Linked DNA regions of Struthio camelus. Each later gene encodes a partner of the first gene's protein in a complex. Links are inferred from orthologs where the notes say so. Each region holds a gene or a part of one and is shown on either strand. Other genes may lie near its edges.

Region 1 (7,901 bases):
AGCTCTGCACTATAATAAGTAAGACCACAGTGCTAGGCACTTACAAAAAATGCTCGAGTCCTTATTGCTTTATTATCTGGATGAGAGTAAATAAAAATCACCTCTCCATCTCTAAAACGTGGGCACAGAATCAGATAATTCAAACTATAGCTAAAGAATGAAAACAAGCAAGTAGATTGCCTAAAACCTTTAAAAATACTCATTTTATGAGCTAGCATAAAGTAAATATCTAGAAAAACAGAATACTCTCGAGCAAGATTATAATCACAGCTTGTCTACTTCCTCTTCTGAGGCAAACACACTCTTCAAAGCACTTCTATAGCTGGGCAAAGCTATATAAATGCTCTCCTCTCAGCTACGCACGCACGTTCCCTCTTCTTAGGTGTAAAGGCACAAAGTAGTTCCTCCTTCTAGATCTAAATAAAGCAGACTGACAAAAATTAGAACATTAAGTAAGCATAACTGGATAGCCAAACAGTGAGGCTTAAAAATAAGTAGCAACAGTGGTAGTACTCGCAGAAGTCTCATCATTATCCTTTACAATGAGTTTTTCTCCTCTAACTTAATATATTATTTTCCTTGTTTTAAAGCAGAGATAAAATTGTTTTCTGCTGCAATATGAAAAGCATTTTACCATGGTTGAATAAGTTTAGAGCTTTGCTTAAACAACTTCAAATTTACAAAATGTTTGTTTGGATGCTATCATCAACAGACATGAACTGGTAAGACTGTTGAGAAGTGATTTAACTATTGGGTATGCCACAAAATAGAAGGATATACATTTATTTTGCAAAACACTGAAGAAGCACATCTAGCTTTAAAGCAGTCCTAAGGACAAGCTTTCTTAAAAACAGTGATAGATGTAACCTCTACAACAGAGAACATTATGCTACTTAACACATATCCTCCTATTACCTCGCTTATTCTGCTGATAGCTTCCCCAAACCTTTTTGAAACTTTTAAACAAATAAACAAGACAGCTTCATATTTCAGGTCTGTTTCACCACAGAAGAAACAGAACTTTACACAGGCAGAGATAAGAGTGAAATAAAAGTGAGGTGATGTTGCTTAAGTAATAAATTCATATAAATAATCTTCTCTCAGTCTCTCTTAAGCACTAAAATAACTGTTTAATCTGTAAGAAGCTTTCAAAGTTAGCACTCAGAAGTCTCAGTGATTTTCCACTGCAACACCATCTTTCACATGTATTGGATCAGTTCTTTGCTTAAAAGATAAGAAAATTCACTTAGGATCAGAATGCTGCATATTATTCCGATGATTGCTTGGAAGTGAATGCATTCAGAGTGGTGATTAAAACTGTCAGTCAAACCACAACTAAGAATGCACACTAGACCAAGTTCAGATTTAAACAGCTGTAGCAAAGAGCAACGTAACTGTAATTAAATCAGAACTGCTTTAGACTTTCACTGTAAGAAGAGAGAACAGAGCCTTAAATTCGTGTTTTCAAACAAGATGCATTTTACAGCATTAAGTTTCTGAGAGCTGATGACAGATTCCGTTTGATGCTTCATTCCTAAACATCTATGCCTTTTTCAGATAGATTCAGTGGCTGGATCTACTGTCATACTGACTATCTTCTCATGAATATCAGTCCAGAATTCTCTGCTTTTCTCTATGAATAGAAGTGACAAGGTAGCAGAGATGGAAGAAAGCAATGAGAAACTCGCCAAAATAAACAATAATATCTTGCGAAAAGATAGTCTAGAAGGCTCTGGTTTCTGATTTCTTCAATTTTAACTAAGCTATAAAGATTAGTTTTGCTGGGGACATTTTCTGAAGCTTGAAGGGTAAAGGAAGTCATACAAATGACAACATACATCCACGTACTCCACTCGTTTTTCTCTCCGCATCACACACACACATCTGAAATTGTCAATTTTGGGTGACAAATTATAGCTATTAAAACAAAAATCCTCGGATTTCAGAGCCAACTAAACAAAGGCAGCCTTTATCTACATAAACCTCTTCTTCTCCTTTTACTTGGCTATTATTGCCACACAAGGTCAAAGACACCCATCTGGAAGTGGGAGGGTTAACAGCCAGAACTTATCAATGTTTCCAAAATAAAACGGTGGCACCAGTGCTGCCAGTCGGCTATGTTTACAAGAAGGAACACAGTTCAGTATAAACCTCCAGCTATGCTCACGCTTTGCCGCTCGGGATCACTACTTTAAGCCACGAGTGTACCTTGAGGAGACAAAGTGAACCCCTGCAAAACGGCGGCGGCAGCAGCAGCCTCACCTAGGCAGGGACCCCAAGAGCAGGGACGGGCTCCTCGGGGAGGGCTGAGCACAAAGGCTGGAGAGAGGGCTGCGGCGCGGAAGCTCTGCCGGAAAGCAAAGCCTCTGACGGGAGCGAGTCCCCAAAGCCCTCAGAGGGCTACAGTGTAGGGACGGATCTCAGCGGCAAGGAAGGCAGGGACTGACCGGGGAGGGGAGCAAACCCGATAGCAGAGAACCGGGGCAAAGCACGCAGTGCTGTGGGAAACGGCCGCCCCGGGCCGGGCTACGGGCAGCGGCCCCACCGCAGCTGGGCCGCGCGGCGCGGGCCGGCAGCGCCGGAGCAGGGCCCGGCCGCAGGCAGCCCTCGCGGCGGAGCGCCGGGGCCCCGGGACCGCCACCCGGTGCCCCGGGCCAGCGACGATGCTGCCGTGCCGTCCCGTGCCGTCCCGCCCCCCGTCGCGAGAGCTGCCTCCGCCGGGGCACGGCGAGGCAGCGCGGCGGCAGGGCAGGGCCCCCCGCAGCGAGGCCGGCTGGGGGCGAGAAGCCCCCCGAGAAGCCAGGCCTACGCCCGCCGGGGCCCCCGCGCCCCGCCGGCTCCGCGCCGAGCTGCGAGCCGGCGAGAGCAGCGGGGCCAAGGCCTCGGCCCGCGCCGCCCCGCGGGGTCCCGTTCCCACCACCGCCGCCGCCTCCTCCTGCGCCCTTGCCGCCTCCCCGCAGGGCGCGGACGTCCCGCTCCCCTCACCGGGCACGGCGGCGTAGCAGCTCCTCCGTCCGTCGGCCAAGATGGCAGCCGGTTCTGACCCAACCTGAGGCAGCGACTTTCCGAAGTCGGGCGGGTCGCGCGCACGCGCGGAGTCGCCCAGGGGCCGCGGCCGCGCGCTGACTACAAGTCCCGGCGTGCGCCGCGCCAGGCGCCGCGCATGCGCGCGTCGGCGTTCCGTTCTGAGGAGGGGAGACGCGGGCGGGAGCGGCTGGAGGCCTCGGGCGGCCGGGGCGGGCGGCACGGAGCCGGCGGGAGCGCGCGGCCGGGGCGGGCGGCACGGAGCCGGCGGGAGCGCGCGGGAGCGCGCGGCCGGGGCGGGCGGCACCGCTCCGCTCCGGTGAGGCTCCGCAAACAGCAGAGACCCTCCACCCGCCTGGGCCTGCTCCCCCTGCCCGCGCCACAGCTGTGCGCGCGCATGAAGACACCTGTGCGGCCGTACAGATACATACGTACTTGAAAAATGCTCGAAAATGTCTAAAAGTCGTGCTGACCACCCTGGGCGCGAGGCTAACGCTAGTCTGAAGTTATACAAGTGCCTTAACGCACTGGGGGCAGCCGTGGCTCTGGGTGGCTCCAGCACACGCCGATTCGGCCGGGCCGCTTGCGATGGCGCGGGCGGGAGCGCTGCGCTGCGTGACCCGAGTGTCCGCGTCCCCCCCCTCCCCGTCAAGCAGCAGCAGGCGCTGTGAGACGTGCCCGCTGCTGACATTTGTCTCATTTAATCTTGGTATAAAAGCCTTTCTTGTTTAAAGTGACTGTTTTTGCACAACTGGAACGCACAATTGCGTAACTGAGCACAGAGAAAGCAGCAAAACGCTTCCTCTTTTAAAAGTGGGATTTGCAAGTTCAGTTCCCCTGCTCCGAAATGAGAGAAAAAGGCTCTTCGTAATTTTCAAAAAGCGGGAGCAGATCCTCACGAATTTTTTAGTAAAACTGCTCACTTTACAAGTGCAAAGGTCGGAGGGGGTTTTTGGTAACTCCTAGGGATCTGAAAAGTCAACTTGTCTTCCCTAGCTTGCACATGAACTCCCTTCGTAAAGATCCCACAGCTAGACTTCAGTTAGCATTTCTACTGGGGAGGGCCTAAGCTGGAAAACAGCTCAGCTTGTTTTCCCTTGGCAGAATAATAATTACCTTTCAATGCCAATTAGCAATCCCCAGTTATGGCAGAGCAAGGTAAACATGCATATGACTTCAAACACAGCAGTCACTTTCATTTCAGCACAGAACCCTCCCTGCTGCTGACTCAGAGTCTGTAAGTACCAAGAAGTCAGAAGAGCGTGGGCATTTGTCAGAAAAATGTACGTCCCTGGGAAGCAGGTTTGAAGACGAGGTTACAACCCGGTATAAGAAGCAAACAAACTGAATGGCTGAAAGAAATGTTGGGAGTTTTTTTTTTTTTTTTTCCAATAGCGTCTTTCCATGCACCTTTAAGTTTTCACATTCCTTTACAGATATTTGACTACACATACGCATACACATATTTACAGTTACTTATTTACAGTGGTCCACTCAAATAATAATAAAAATGAATTTCTGCAAGTATTACACATGTGGAGTTTCTCTCTCATGCATCATCTATTTAAGCAGTCACCTCTCATCCGCTGCTGTGGTACACATCCTTATTGCCGATCTTAGCTGGAGTTCCACATCTGCAGAGCTGGGTTTCCTTTACAGTGTATTTGTTCTGTCCCACAGCTGATATATAACATTGGGCTTGTTTTTGCAGAGTACCTGTAGTTTGATTCCCAAAACTGTAGGAACATGACAACAATAAGCATGTTCCCAGGCATCTGAATTCTTGTTGACATTAGTGGAAGTTTAATGTTTGCAGAAAAAAGCTAAATGCTGCCACAAACACATGTATGTGTGACTCCTATAGACTTCAACAGATGTGCATATATTGCTTGGGCAGCTTGGCCGTTTGCAGTCCCTACTTCTGTTTTGCTAATTTTTAGGTTTCCAAGGTACAGGTTGCTAAAGCAGAGGTAGATTAAATACATCCAGTGGCTCTTTTCAAGGACACCACTCAATTTCCCTCTTTGTAAGAATTTTTTCCTCCTTCTGTAACTGGCATTTCAGAAAAGTGTTACTGTTCAGCCTCGGCAACCCTAATCTTTTTAACCTGCTGATACTCAAATCAAGTTACATTGGTGCTGGCTGCTCTGTAAAAGTAATGAGAAAGAAAACACATTCTAGGTGCACAGACTACCGATTAGTTCATGCTTGCCAGGACAAGATGAACTTAATGCAATCTTTACATTCAGACTCACCCAGAGATCATTTTTTCTGTTAAAAGTCAGGCTCTATCAGTGAACTGGAACATCAAATAATGAATTAACACTAGAACAATGTTGCAAGCACAAACGAATTTAATGGAGCAGCAGAAGAGCTGCATATCTAAGAGTTTACCTATTCTTTCATATGCTCCTTACAATTTCTGCTGCTTTTTACTTATTTGGGGAAAGGAGAAGGCTGATTTTTTTTTTCGCTATACTTGAGGTTTTGATTACTGCAAGATACTGAGACAGAGTGGAATTTTCTTGCTATTCTCTGTCAAAGCTTCGTTTTGACTGCTAAAAACCCCAACAGACTGAGAAAGTTTGCAACAACTGTCAGAATGATCTTGTAAAAAGGAGTTCGGGAAAGCTGTACAAACCTTTTAGCTTTTCACATTTGCTAGACTTGATATGGTCAAACAAAGCTTCTGTGAACTGTTTTCGGAGAGATAATACAGATGGTTGATGATATTTTTTCCCATTCTTTGTCAGTCCTATCTCTTTAGATTTTAAGGTCTCTGGGAGAATGATTATTTCTTGTGGCCTAGCAAAATATATACAGTGCTTTTTTCTCAGTTGGGCCTCTAGATGCTATTGTAAATAATAATATTCAAATCACTAGTGTGGTCTTGACTGTGTTGTTACAGCCATATCTAGCACAGTGGGTTAGTGCTATTGCTGCTTGGAGTTGACTGGGAAACCACTCAGGATGACCGTCTGTATTGTGTAGAGCTGTATGAATCACTTCCATGTCTGAATCTTTCATGTTGTGGTAATAAAAAATACTGCAGTATCACTGAAGTATCGCATTTCTATCAGATTTTTGAACAGGAGTCTGTAAATGGGGATTGCTCTCTCTGATTCCTCAAAGCCTCAGGATCCTTCAGCTAGGGGGCTGGGACTAGACCCCATAACAGAAGCACCGGACCTGCTCTTATTCTCTTATCCTGAGAGTATTGTATCCCATCTCCTAATATGGACTCTGCCTTCATTCACTCTCTTTTTCCACTCCCACCCGACAGGTCCCCGTGGACCTCACAGATGACAAGCCTGTTCTTTCCAAGATTACATAATTTGCTCAAGAATGCACAGCAAGTCACTGGCAGAGTTGGAAAGATAATCCAGATTTCTCAACTCTTTGGCAAGTATTTAATGCTCAATTTTTTATTTTTGTTTTAATGTTAGTTTTAGCACACACAAACCCAGTCACAGAATCACAGAAATACAGAATAATTTAGGGAGGAAGGGGCCTCTATAGGCAATAGGCCAATCTCCTGCTCAGTCTAGGTCCAACTTAGATGATGTTGCTCAGGGCCTTGTCCAGTTGAGACTTAACTATCTCCAAGGAGGGACATCCTACAGACTGTCTGTGCCCCTGGTCCAGTGTTTGACCACCCACATATTGAATATTTTTTTCTTTACATCTAATCAGGAATTTCACTTGTAGGAACTTTTACTTGTTGCCTGTTGTCCTGTCCCTGTGCACTTCCATAAAGAGTCTGGCTCTGTCTTCTCTGCGCCATCCCATCAGGCAGTTGCAGACAGCGGTAAGATCCCCCTTCACCTTCTCTTCTCCAGGCTGAACAGACCCCGCTGGCTCAGCCTTTCCTCCTAAATCCTGTGCTCCAGCCCCAATCATCTCGGTGGCCTCTGTTGGACTCGCAACAGTATGTCAGTGTCTGTCTTATACTGGGGAGCTCAAACTGGACACATCACTGCAGAAGGAATGTTATCACTGCCAAATTCCTGCTGGCTGCATGCTTGCCGGGGATGTGGTTGGCCTTCTTTGCCACAGTGGCGCACTGGACTCCTGCTCAACTTGTTGTCCACCAAGATCCCAGGGCCTCTTATACAGAACTGCTCTAGGCAGTCACCCAGAGCGTGTCCTGCTGCATGGGGTTATTCCCTCCCAGGGCAGGACTGTGCATTTGTCATTGCTGAGTTTCACAAAGTTTTTGTCCACTGTGGGTTAGGATCTCCGTCCACTAATACTAAATAAGTTGATAACATAAAGCCAGTCCTGGTACTGAAGAGACCACAGCGACCATCTGTCCATGGAAACAGTTTATGCTTATCCACCTGGGGACAGACACAGCCCCAAGCAAATATCATACAATGAGTATTGAGTAGTCATCAGATGTCATCAGTAGTCACCAGCATCCATTAGCTGAAGAGCTATTTTAAATCTTTAACAGTAGCTTAACACTTCTACCTGATTGAAGGCTTTGTAAAGCTCATCATTAATAAATGCATGACTATTTCATTTTTCACAGCATTTTTCATTATCAGATTTTAAAGCACTTTATAAACAACTGTAAAGTAAGTCTTCTTTAGAAATAAGTCTTCTACGGTCTTTGTCAGCTAGGTAATTATTCCAGCAAGTGATTAATAATTTAAAATCAGACTTCTTATTTTGAAGTTACCATCTGTAAGAGAATTGTTGTTGTTCTGCCTTGCTATCAGAGTCTGAACTCACGATTTCCCTCATGAAGATAAAAATACCATGTCAGAGTGTGTCTATTTCTAATACCACATCAGAGTGTGTCCATTTCTAATTGCCTTTAAAATCTGAACTGATAACTTTGACTTGAGATATAGAAAAGTATTAGTAGGAAA
Region 2 (8,050 bases), on another chromosome or scaffold:
GGTTTTCTAGAGATAACAAGCATGTGAGATCAATGAGGGTGCAGGCAGTATGGGAAGGGACTTCCTAGCTCCCGGTTTTAGCCGCCTCACCTGGGTATCTAGATTAGGGACCTTGTTTGGGGTCAGCCTCTCCAGGGGAGATGCCCTTGTACCCCGCAACTGATGGACTCTGAGCCCATTGGCACTGGCTGGAGGCAAGGACAAGGCTGACCATTGCGCTGGGCCCAGGGAAAGCTGCGTGTGGGTTTGCCTTGGCTACTGAAGAGCAAGAAATCTTCCTTCTTCCTTTGCCCCTTCCAGCATCCGTGGGCCCCTGCTGCGGTCTTTCAAGGGACAGCTGGAGGGAGTGGGGAACGAAGGTCAGGAAATCTTTGGCTATAAAATACTGTTTCCTCTGTTAATAACATCTGACCAACACCAAAAGACAAAGAGGACCAGGTGGATCAGTTTTGCACAGTGACAAGTTGGAGACTTTTTCTTAAAAGAGGGCATAGGGCGAGGGAGCAGAGCGCGGCCACGCAGCCACTGCCGAACACCAGAAGAGGACAGGCTCTCCCAGCCTGAGCAAGGAGGCAGCTGGTGCGACTGAGTCTTACTGCCCAGAGCACGTGAAAGACATGGGACTTCCCAGAGTCGGCACTCAAATTCCTCCTTGTTTGTGGACGGCTGAATTCGGTCTCAGGCACAGGCTGCTGACGCTCGGCTCTGGCTTTCTCCTCCTTATTGCAAAATCGCAGTCTGGCAAGAGTAACAGTGAAGACATCCCACCGCAGCAAAAAAAAAAAAAAAACATCCGCTGAAAAGAATTTTTTTCACATCGCACTCCTGGCAAGAGCTGGAAACCTGGGACCCTGAGGAAAGTCCTCACACCGGATCCCTGAGGGGCCTTCTCCCCATTTAGCTGGGAAGGGGAAGGAGAAAAGGGGATCTCAAGCTGTGACACATATGCCATAAGGCATTTCAACACGGTACATAGCCTACACAGCACCAGGAATTACTGCCAGTGGTGACACAAGCCATTGCTGTTGCCCATGGACAAACCCAGCAAAAAGTTGCTTTGGGAAACCTGCGATGGGGATCTGCCCTGTGTGACCTGAGAGCTTTCAAGATCATTTCATGTAGGTCCCTGCAGAGCTGTTTTACAGTACCCCAGCAGGGTTGTGCCGCCGTGTCTCAAAATTAGGCACTGCAAGCCTTAATGGCTTCATCAAAACTTTCATTTTATTCAGAAACTCAAAGTGAATCGCTCCCCTCGCTTCCCTGCTTCCGTGTTTCTGCCAAATTTCAAGCTTGGACCACTGCAGGCAGCCCTTTACGCTGTCAAAGTAGTACTGAAGTCAGCCACAGTCAAACTTGAGCAGCGAGAAGATAAGGGTGGGATAGAGGTGGCTTTCCAGGAGTCACAGGAGTCCCTTGGTCCCTTGTTTTCCAGCTGCAGGGACACACACCCAGCACAATCAGCGTGGGATTGTCAAGTGCTGCTCGCTGTACATACATAGGCCAATTCTCCATCCCAAGCCTCAGCTAATCCCTTCCCACCCTGGCCAAAGGAAATGCCTTTTCCGCCCCAGCTCTCGTTCCCGTTCGCACGACAGGCACACTCTGTCCCTTTGCTCCGGCCATTGGGAATCCCTTCACGTCCCTCTCTTCCCCTCCCCGCCTCGAATTTGCTGGAAGCAACCATATATGGTGAAAAATGGAGAAAACGGCACCAGGAAGCTACTGGAAGCTCTGCACAAGGCAGCAGCCTCTGGGCAGCCAGGCAGCAAACTCTCGCAGTGCTTTTCAGAGGCGGGAGCCAGTTATCTAGGCTGAGATGATAGACGGGGCAAAGGATGGCTGGCGACAAGAGGAGCGTGATTGCTCCAGGCAACAGCAGCCAGGGACTCCTGGTAACCAAGACCAGGAAATAAAGGCTTTTATGAGTGCTCTTGTGCATCAGGGTTGTGTTACAGGCACGATTCAGATCGATCATGGGCAGGGGGGCAGTTTTCAGCAAAAACCTTACGTTGCTGGTATGGAGCGTGATTTGTGCTGCCCAGTTTCTGCCTCACCTAATCGCTTCCCCATGACCCACTCAACAGCCCCTGCTGTCAGTGAGTCATCTCAGGGCATGGTTTCTAACTCGGCCCTTCCCTGCTCTTCAGGGTTGGGTTATCCCCGACACATCCAGTTAGTCATGCAACTCTCCCTTCCGTCACTAGCCCATGGCCAGCGAGGAGAAGGCTCTGGGCCGCTCTCCCCATCCGCCTGGATGGCACTGGCCCCAGGGCTGACTTTTCCCCTTCCTTGTGTCCACCACCAAGGCTGGAGGGATCCTCCAAGCAACATGTTGCCAGGGGAAAACAAGCTGAGGGGGGGACCGAGGCCTTAAAAAAATTGCTTAGGAGAAGGGAGGAAGCGCCCAAGAGCTGGTCTCTGCCCAAAACCATAACCGGCTTCTCTTTGATATCATTCTTTTTAAAGAGACGTGACATTTTGAAGCTTTTGTTTTACAGGCTAAAATTCCTCTGCGTTTCCAAGTCCCTTGCTTAATCCAGGGTGCTGCTTGCGTGGGAAACCTTGTGAACCGAGTCTCATCCTGAGGAAGTTGCAGCTGCTCCTCCTTCAGTGGAGAGACCACAGAGGCCTTTCCAGTCAGATGGAGGTCAGGGGAGCAAAGGGCAGAAGCTGATGGACAGATAAAAAGAAACTTGGAGAGGATCCAGGCTTTGAAACGTGCCTTGGACCATATCTCTGGCAAGCCGAGGACTTCATCGCCCTTTGACATCGCTGGAATGCATTTGACAGTTGGGGAGAAAGCCACCATGGGCTGGAAGAGCCAGGTTGGAGACCTCTTTCTTGGGAGACCTGCACCGAGGGAAACCAGAGACGGGGAGCGCAAACACGGATCCCAAAGGAACGCAAGGGTGCGAGCGGGCCAAGAACCAAATTGAGGTCTTTGGGATCGCGTATCCCATAGCTGGCAAGGCTGCAAAGAGAGCTCGGCTCGTTTCGCCAAATTAGAGCAAATCCGTAATTCTTGTGAGCCCGGGGACCTTCTCCCTAGCAAGGGACAACGGGGAGAGCTTGTCAGGACCAGACCTGCAGCAGGAAAAGGCGCACGTCCTCCATTGCGCACCTCACTGCAAAAGAGTTCTCTAGCAGCGAGGAAATTTGTCCTGCAGTTTGGCAGGCGATCAGCTTACACCCCGCAAGTTTATCTGACCATTTTTATCAGTTTATGCTAACAGGTGTGAATTAACTTTGAGGGACGGAGAGGAGGGCAAAGAAATAAAAGCACGGCGCGCGGCAGAAAGGCACGGACAAACAAGCGCCATATCAGAGGGCAAAGGACAACCGAGACAACACCGAACAAAAACACATCCCTTTCCTCGGCGGGGGGGAAGGAAGGTCTTTAGAGTCCCCCCCCACCCCACACACACACCCTGTTTCCACTCCTGCCTTTTTATGGCTCATTTAGTGGCTCCAGAAATATTACCCTCCCGTTTCCTCCCCTCTCCATGCCTGCTTTCCTGAACTGCGAAAGCATTAATCGCTCTTAAAACCCATGACAAAACAGCCTGTCGGGGAGGAACGTGTGTGCTCAGCACGACCACGCACAAATTACAATTCAAGGGTTTCTCCCAGTTAAAAGCCCCACGGGGCAGCGACACGGGTGATACGGTGTCACCCGCTCCCCAAATCCCTGCCGGGGGTATGGGGGCAAGGAGCGGGGGGTCTGCCCTTGACACGGCTCGAAACATCCCGAAGCGGAGTGGGGGGGGGGGACACGAAAGAGGGTGTAAGATGTCCCCTTTTGGCAGATGACGGTCCGATGAGTAATTCTGCTAAAACTCCTGGTGGGGAGGGGGACGTGGCTGCCCCGGGGGGGTGTCACTGGGGGTTTGGGGGGTGGGGGCCACCCTGGAGGGATGGAGATGGACTGAGAGGTGTCCCCCCCCCCACAGGGTGAGGCTTTCTCTTCTCTACCCCAATCCTGCCCTAATTCGCCCCAAATTACAGTGGGGGGAAGCAGAAGGGGGGCTGTGGAAACGCCACAGCTCACTGGGGGTTTGGGGGGGGGGGTCACAGACAGCAGCGGGGGTGGGGGCCACCCTGGAGGGATGGGGACAGACTGAGAGGTTCCTCCCCCCCCCCCCCAGGGTGAGGCTTTCTCTTCCCTTCCCCAATCCTGCCCTTATTCGCCCCAAATTACGGTGGGGGGAAGCAGAAGGGGGGCTGTGGAAACGCTGCAACTCACCGGGGCTTTGGGGGGGTGGGGGCCACCCTGGAGGGATGGGGACGGACTGAGAGGTTCCCCCCCCCACAGGGAGAGGCTTTCTCTTCCTTACCCCAATCCTGCCCTTATTCGCCCCAAATTACGGTGGGGGGAAGCAGAGGGGGGCTGTGGAAACGCCGCAACTGCCTGACGGGGGGGGGGTGTGGAAATGCCCCCAAACAGAGCTGGGGGGGGGGAAACACCCTCAGTGGGGTGAGGGGAGCCCCAGAGCCCTGTGAGGACCGCCCCAGTTCAACCAGTACCAGAGAGCCCGTCACAGTACGGCTCGTCCTGGCCGCTGCCCCCGAGCCCGCGCATCATGAGGGGGGGCTCAACCCCCCCCCCTCCCGCCCTGCCGTCCCCACAAGGAACATTACATCCTGTTCCCCGCTCACCACTGGCTCCCGCCTCCCCCGTCCTCGCTCGCCATTGGCCAGCCGCGCCGTCACTCCGTCCCCTCTCCCACTCTTGCACCCTTCCATTCTCCCGCCCTCCTGCCTGCTTCTCCGCCGCACACGCTCTCCTCTCCTTCACAAGCTGTCCACGCTCCGCACCCGGCGCGCCGATTGGCCGGCGGGGGTGTAAACAACGCGGCGGCGACCAATGGGAGCGCTGATCACGCGAGCAGCACGCTTGGCCATGCGCCCTCGGCGTGGCGCTCTTGTCATCAACAAGTGCGGGAGGGGGGAGGGCGGGGAGGCGGAGGCTATAAAAGGCCGCGTCCGGCGGGGGCCGGGCTCACACCGTTGAGGGCCGAGAGCGGAGCGGCGGGCTGCAGCAGGCGGAGGCAGCGCATCCCTTCTGCCCCACAGCTGCTAGGGAGGAAAAGGTTGACCTTTAGACTAAATTCTGACTAAAAATCAACCTTCCCGAGGTATTTTTTCCCCTCGGTTGTTGCCGTTGAGGGGGGGAAAAAAAAGCACAAAAACTGCCCAGCGTGCGCAGCTCCTTGCCTCGTCCTCAAGAGCGTCTCCCACCCTTCACCTCAGCCATGGTGATGTTCAAGAAAGTCAAGACCTTCCTCGTGGCTTTCAGCGAGCCTGAGAAGGTCTACTGCAGTGGGGAGAAGGTGGCAGGGCGCGTGGTGGTGGAGGTGGCTGAGGTCACCCGCGTCAGCGCCGTCAAAGTGCTGGCCTGCGGCGTGGCCAAAGTCAACTGGGCCAAGGGCCCCCAGCAGTGCAAGCAGGAGATGGAGTACCTGCGCTTCGAGGACGTGCTCACCCTGGAGGAGCAGCCCACTGGTGAGGACCTGGGGCTGGGAAAGGAGGGGTTGGGGGCAAAAGGTGGTGGGGAGCGGGCGGGGAGTGGGTTGGAAGTAATCACCAGCTTTGCCTGCTGGTTGTTGCCCTTCCGCAAGGGGCTGGGTTGAGTCTCCTGGTTGTGCCCGCATTGACGGGGCTAAAGCAGAAATGCTACTTTGAAGAGTTGGCATATTTGGCTGGTGAAAGGAAAAGGGAATTTAATGTTGGCCAAGTGAACTGGTTGAACCCTTGGAAACGGATGAAGGGCAAAACAGGACTCAGCTAGGCTGCAGGTTAGAGTTGGAAAACTTAGGGCTGCTGTGCTCTATCCGGAGCCCGAAACAAAAGTGAGATGGGGTGCTTGTCGGAGCGTACAAAAGACGTTAGGCATTGATGCGGCTGGCTTGGCTTGCCCAACAGGCAGTGATGCTCTGTGCCTGCAGGGAACGAGTACTGAGATTGGCTTTGGCCGGATGTCACTGTGGCAGGAGGTGCCTCTGAGTTCAGTACAGTGGCTGGTACAGTGCACGGGACAGGTGGTCAGAGAGCGGCAAGTCCAGATCTTGTCTGAGCCAAAGAGTCTCAGTCCCTTCCCTGCCTTTATCGCCCTCCCTGTTTGGCTGGCTCTGGGGAAGGCAGAGATAAGCACTTGGCAGGGTGTCTTGGAAGATAAGTGGGGAGACGTGAAATCCTCAAGGTAAACAGATAGTTGGGGAAAGAAGTTAGTACTTTGTACTCCCAGAAAGTGGAAGTAGGATGCGGTAACCAGAGGTAACAGGGTCTGAACTAAAGCCAATCAGGACTTTGTGCCCTGGTTTCAAATGAGGATGTTGAAAGAAGAAGTGAAAGTGTAGTTTAGCAGTACTTCCCTGCCCTGCGAGGACACCAGGTTCTCAGCCTGTTCTTAGGGAACAGGTGTGGGTGGCGCTTACCAAAGAACTAATAGAGCTCTTAATGCCTGCAACACCCGGACTTCATCATAGCCTGTGTAAGCAGAACAGTGGATAATGCTTAGAGCAATACTGCTGGACTTTACCTAATATCTCTCTTCTCCTTTTCTTTTCTCAGATGGGGATGGCTCTGTAATCCTGAGACCTGGAAACAAATATGAATACAAATTTGGATTCGAGCTTCCCCAAGGGTAGGTATTAGACCAGCATTGTCTGAACAAAGTAAAAAAAAAAAGCCTAACCTTAAATTCCTATGGAAAACTGTCTTGTTAGCTCCAATGTGTCTAACAAGTGTGTCTTTTCATAGGCCTCTGGGTACCACCTTCAAGGGAAAGTATGGCTGCGTGGATTATTGGGTGAAGGCTTTCTTGGAGCGCCCATCCTTTCCCACTCAGGAGATAAAGCAGCGCTTTGAGGTTATGGATCCTGTTGATGTGAACACTCCAGAATTACTGGTAAGTGCCAGTTTGTTTTGCCACCTCTGAGAGGTTTGGGTGTCAGTTAGCATTAAGGGATACAAAGGTCCTTAGGTAGGGTCAGTCTGACCTCTGTGGTTAAGACTCCCCCTAATAGGCTTTACTCTTCAGCACAGATTAAATACTTAGTTCTGAAGAACTCTCTAGAAGGCTACACTGAGGCAGGTAGAAGTGAGGCACTGGTTCTGCATTCAGTTAACTGAAAGACACTCAGTCCTCATGGGGAGTGGCAGCGTGAATTTGAGGAAGCTTGAATCACAAAACAGGAGAAGGTGAAGCTCAGGGCTGGAGAGGAGGAATGGGTTGGGAACACCGGGCAGGTTTCATCTGGGTAACGATCTTATTTCTTTTCAGTCTCCAGTTGCTGCCAAGAAGGAGAAGAAGGTGTCCTGTATGTTCATTCCTGATGGCCACGTGTCAGTCAGCGCCCAAATTGACAGAAAGGGATTTTGTGAAGGTAAGAGCCTGTCTCCCCCCCTTAGAAAAGGGAAGGAGCGGGAGCAAAGGGTGAAGGGACAAGCAGTACCTGAGCAAAGGGGCAGTAGTCAGGGGATGTTTAACTAGAAGATCAGTGAAAAACAACAAATACACTTCAAGGAAAAAGTTCTGACCTTCCTAATGCAGAACATCATTCCCTCCTCAGGTGATGAGATCTGCATCAATGCAGACTTTGAGAACACTTGCTCCCGGATTGTGGTGCCCAAAGCAGCCATCATTGCCAAGCACACCTACCTGGCCAATGGGCAGACCAAGGTGTTCACCCAGAAACTCACCTGTGTCCGAGGCAACCACATCATCTCAGGCATGTCCGAGTCCTGGCGAGGCAAAACCATCCGTGTCAAGAAGCTCAAGCCGTCTATCTTGGGCTGCAACATCTTGCGCGTGGAGTATTTCCTGCAGGTGAGTGTCTCTGATGGCTGCTATTGCTCCTCTCATGGTTAGTGGGTAAGCTTTGTCTACGGTTGGTTTCTGTCGTTGCTAACGGCATTCTGGTCTGTACCTTGCAGATCTATGTCAGTGTCCCAGGCTCCAAGAAGATCATCCTGGAACTGCCCCTTGTCATTGGCAGCCGGTCAGGCATTGGTAGCCGCAGCTCCAGCATGGCCAGTCAGACCAGCTCCG

What was found.
Region 2: the proteins of ITCH (region 1) and TXNIP are in contact, whole or in part, in a crystal structure (PDB 5CQ2), measured with the Homo sapiens proteins. The link is inferred for Struthio camelus from reciprocal best matches to the Homo sapiens genes ITCH and TXNIP. Residues at the interface, in NP_001244066.1 of Homo sapiens: Glu485, Arg487, Thr489, Tyr495, Val497, Asp498, His499, Arg502, Thr503, Thr504, Thr505, Tyr506, Leu516; in NP_006463.3 of Homo sapiens: Pro328, Glu329, Ala330, Pro331, Pro332, Cys333, Tyr334, Val337, Ile338.

The regions. Positions count from the first base shown.
Region 1 is NC_090959.1:3,742,951-3,750,851, reverse strand, and holds the start of ITCH (E3 ubiquitin-protein ligase Itchy homolog), read right to left. Parts: upstream 3,074-7,901; 5' UTR 2,986-3,073; intron 1-2,985. UniProt on the Homo sapiens protein: Acts as an Acts as an E3 ubiquitin-protein ligase which accepts ubiquitin from an E2 ubiquitin-conjugating enzyme in the form of a thioester and then directly transfers the ubiquitin to targeted substrates.
Region 2 is NC_090971.1:3,047,432-3,055,481, forward strand, and holds the start of TXNIP (thioredoxin-interacting protein), read left to right. Parts: upstream 1-4,995; 5' UTR 4,996-5,252; coding exon 5,253-5,502; intron 5,503-6,570; coding exon 6,571-6,643; intron 6,644-6,759; coding exon 6,760-6,907; intron 6,908-7,282; coding exon 7,283-7,385; intron 7,386-7,571; coding exon 7,572-7,828; intron 7,829-7,935; coding exon 7,936-8,050. UniProt on the Homo sapiens protein: May act as an oxidative stress mediator by inhibiting thioredoxin activity or by limiting its bioavailability.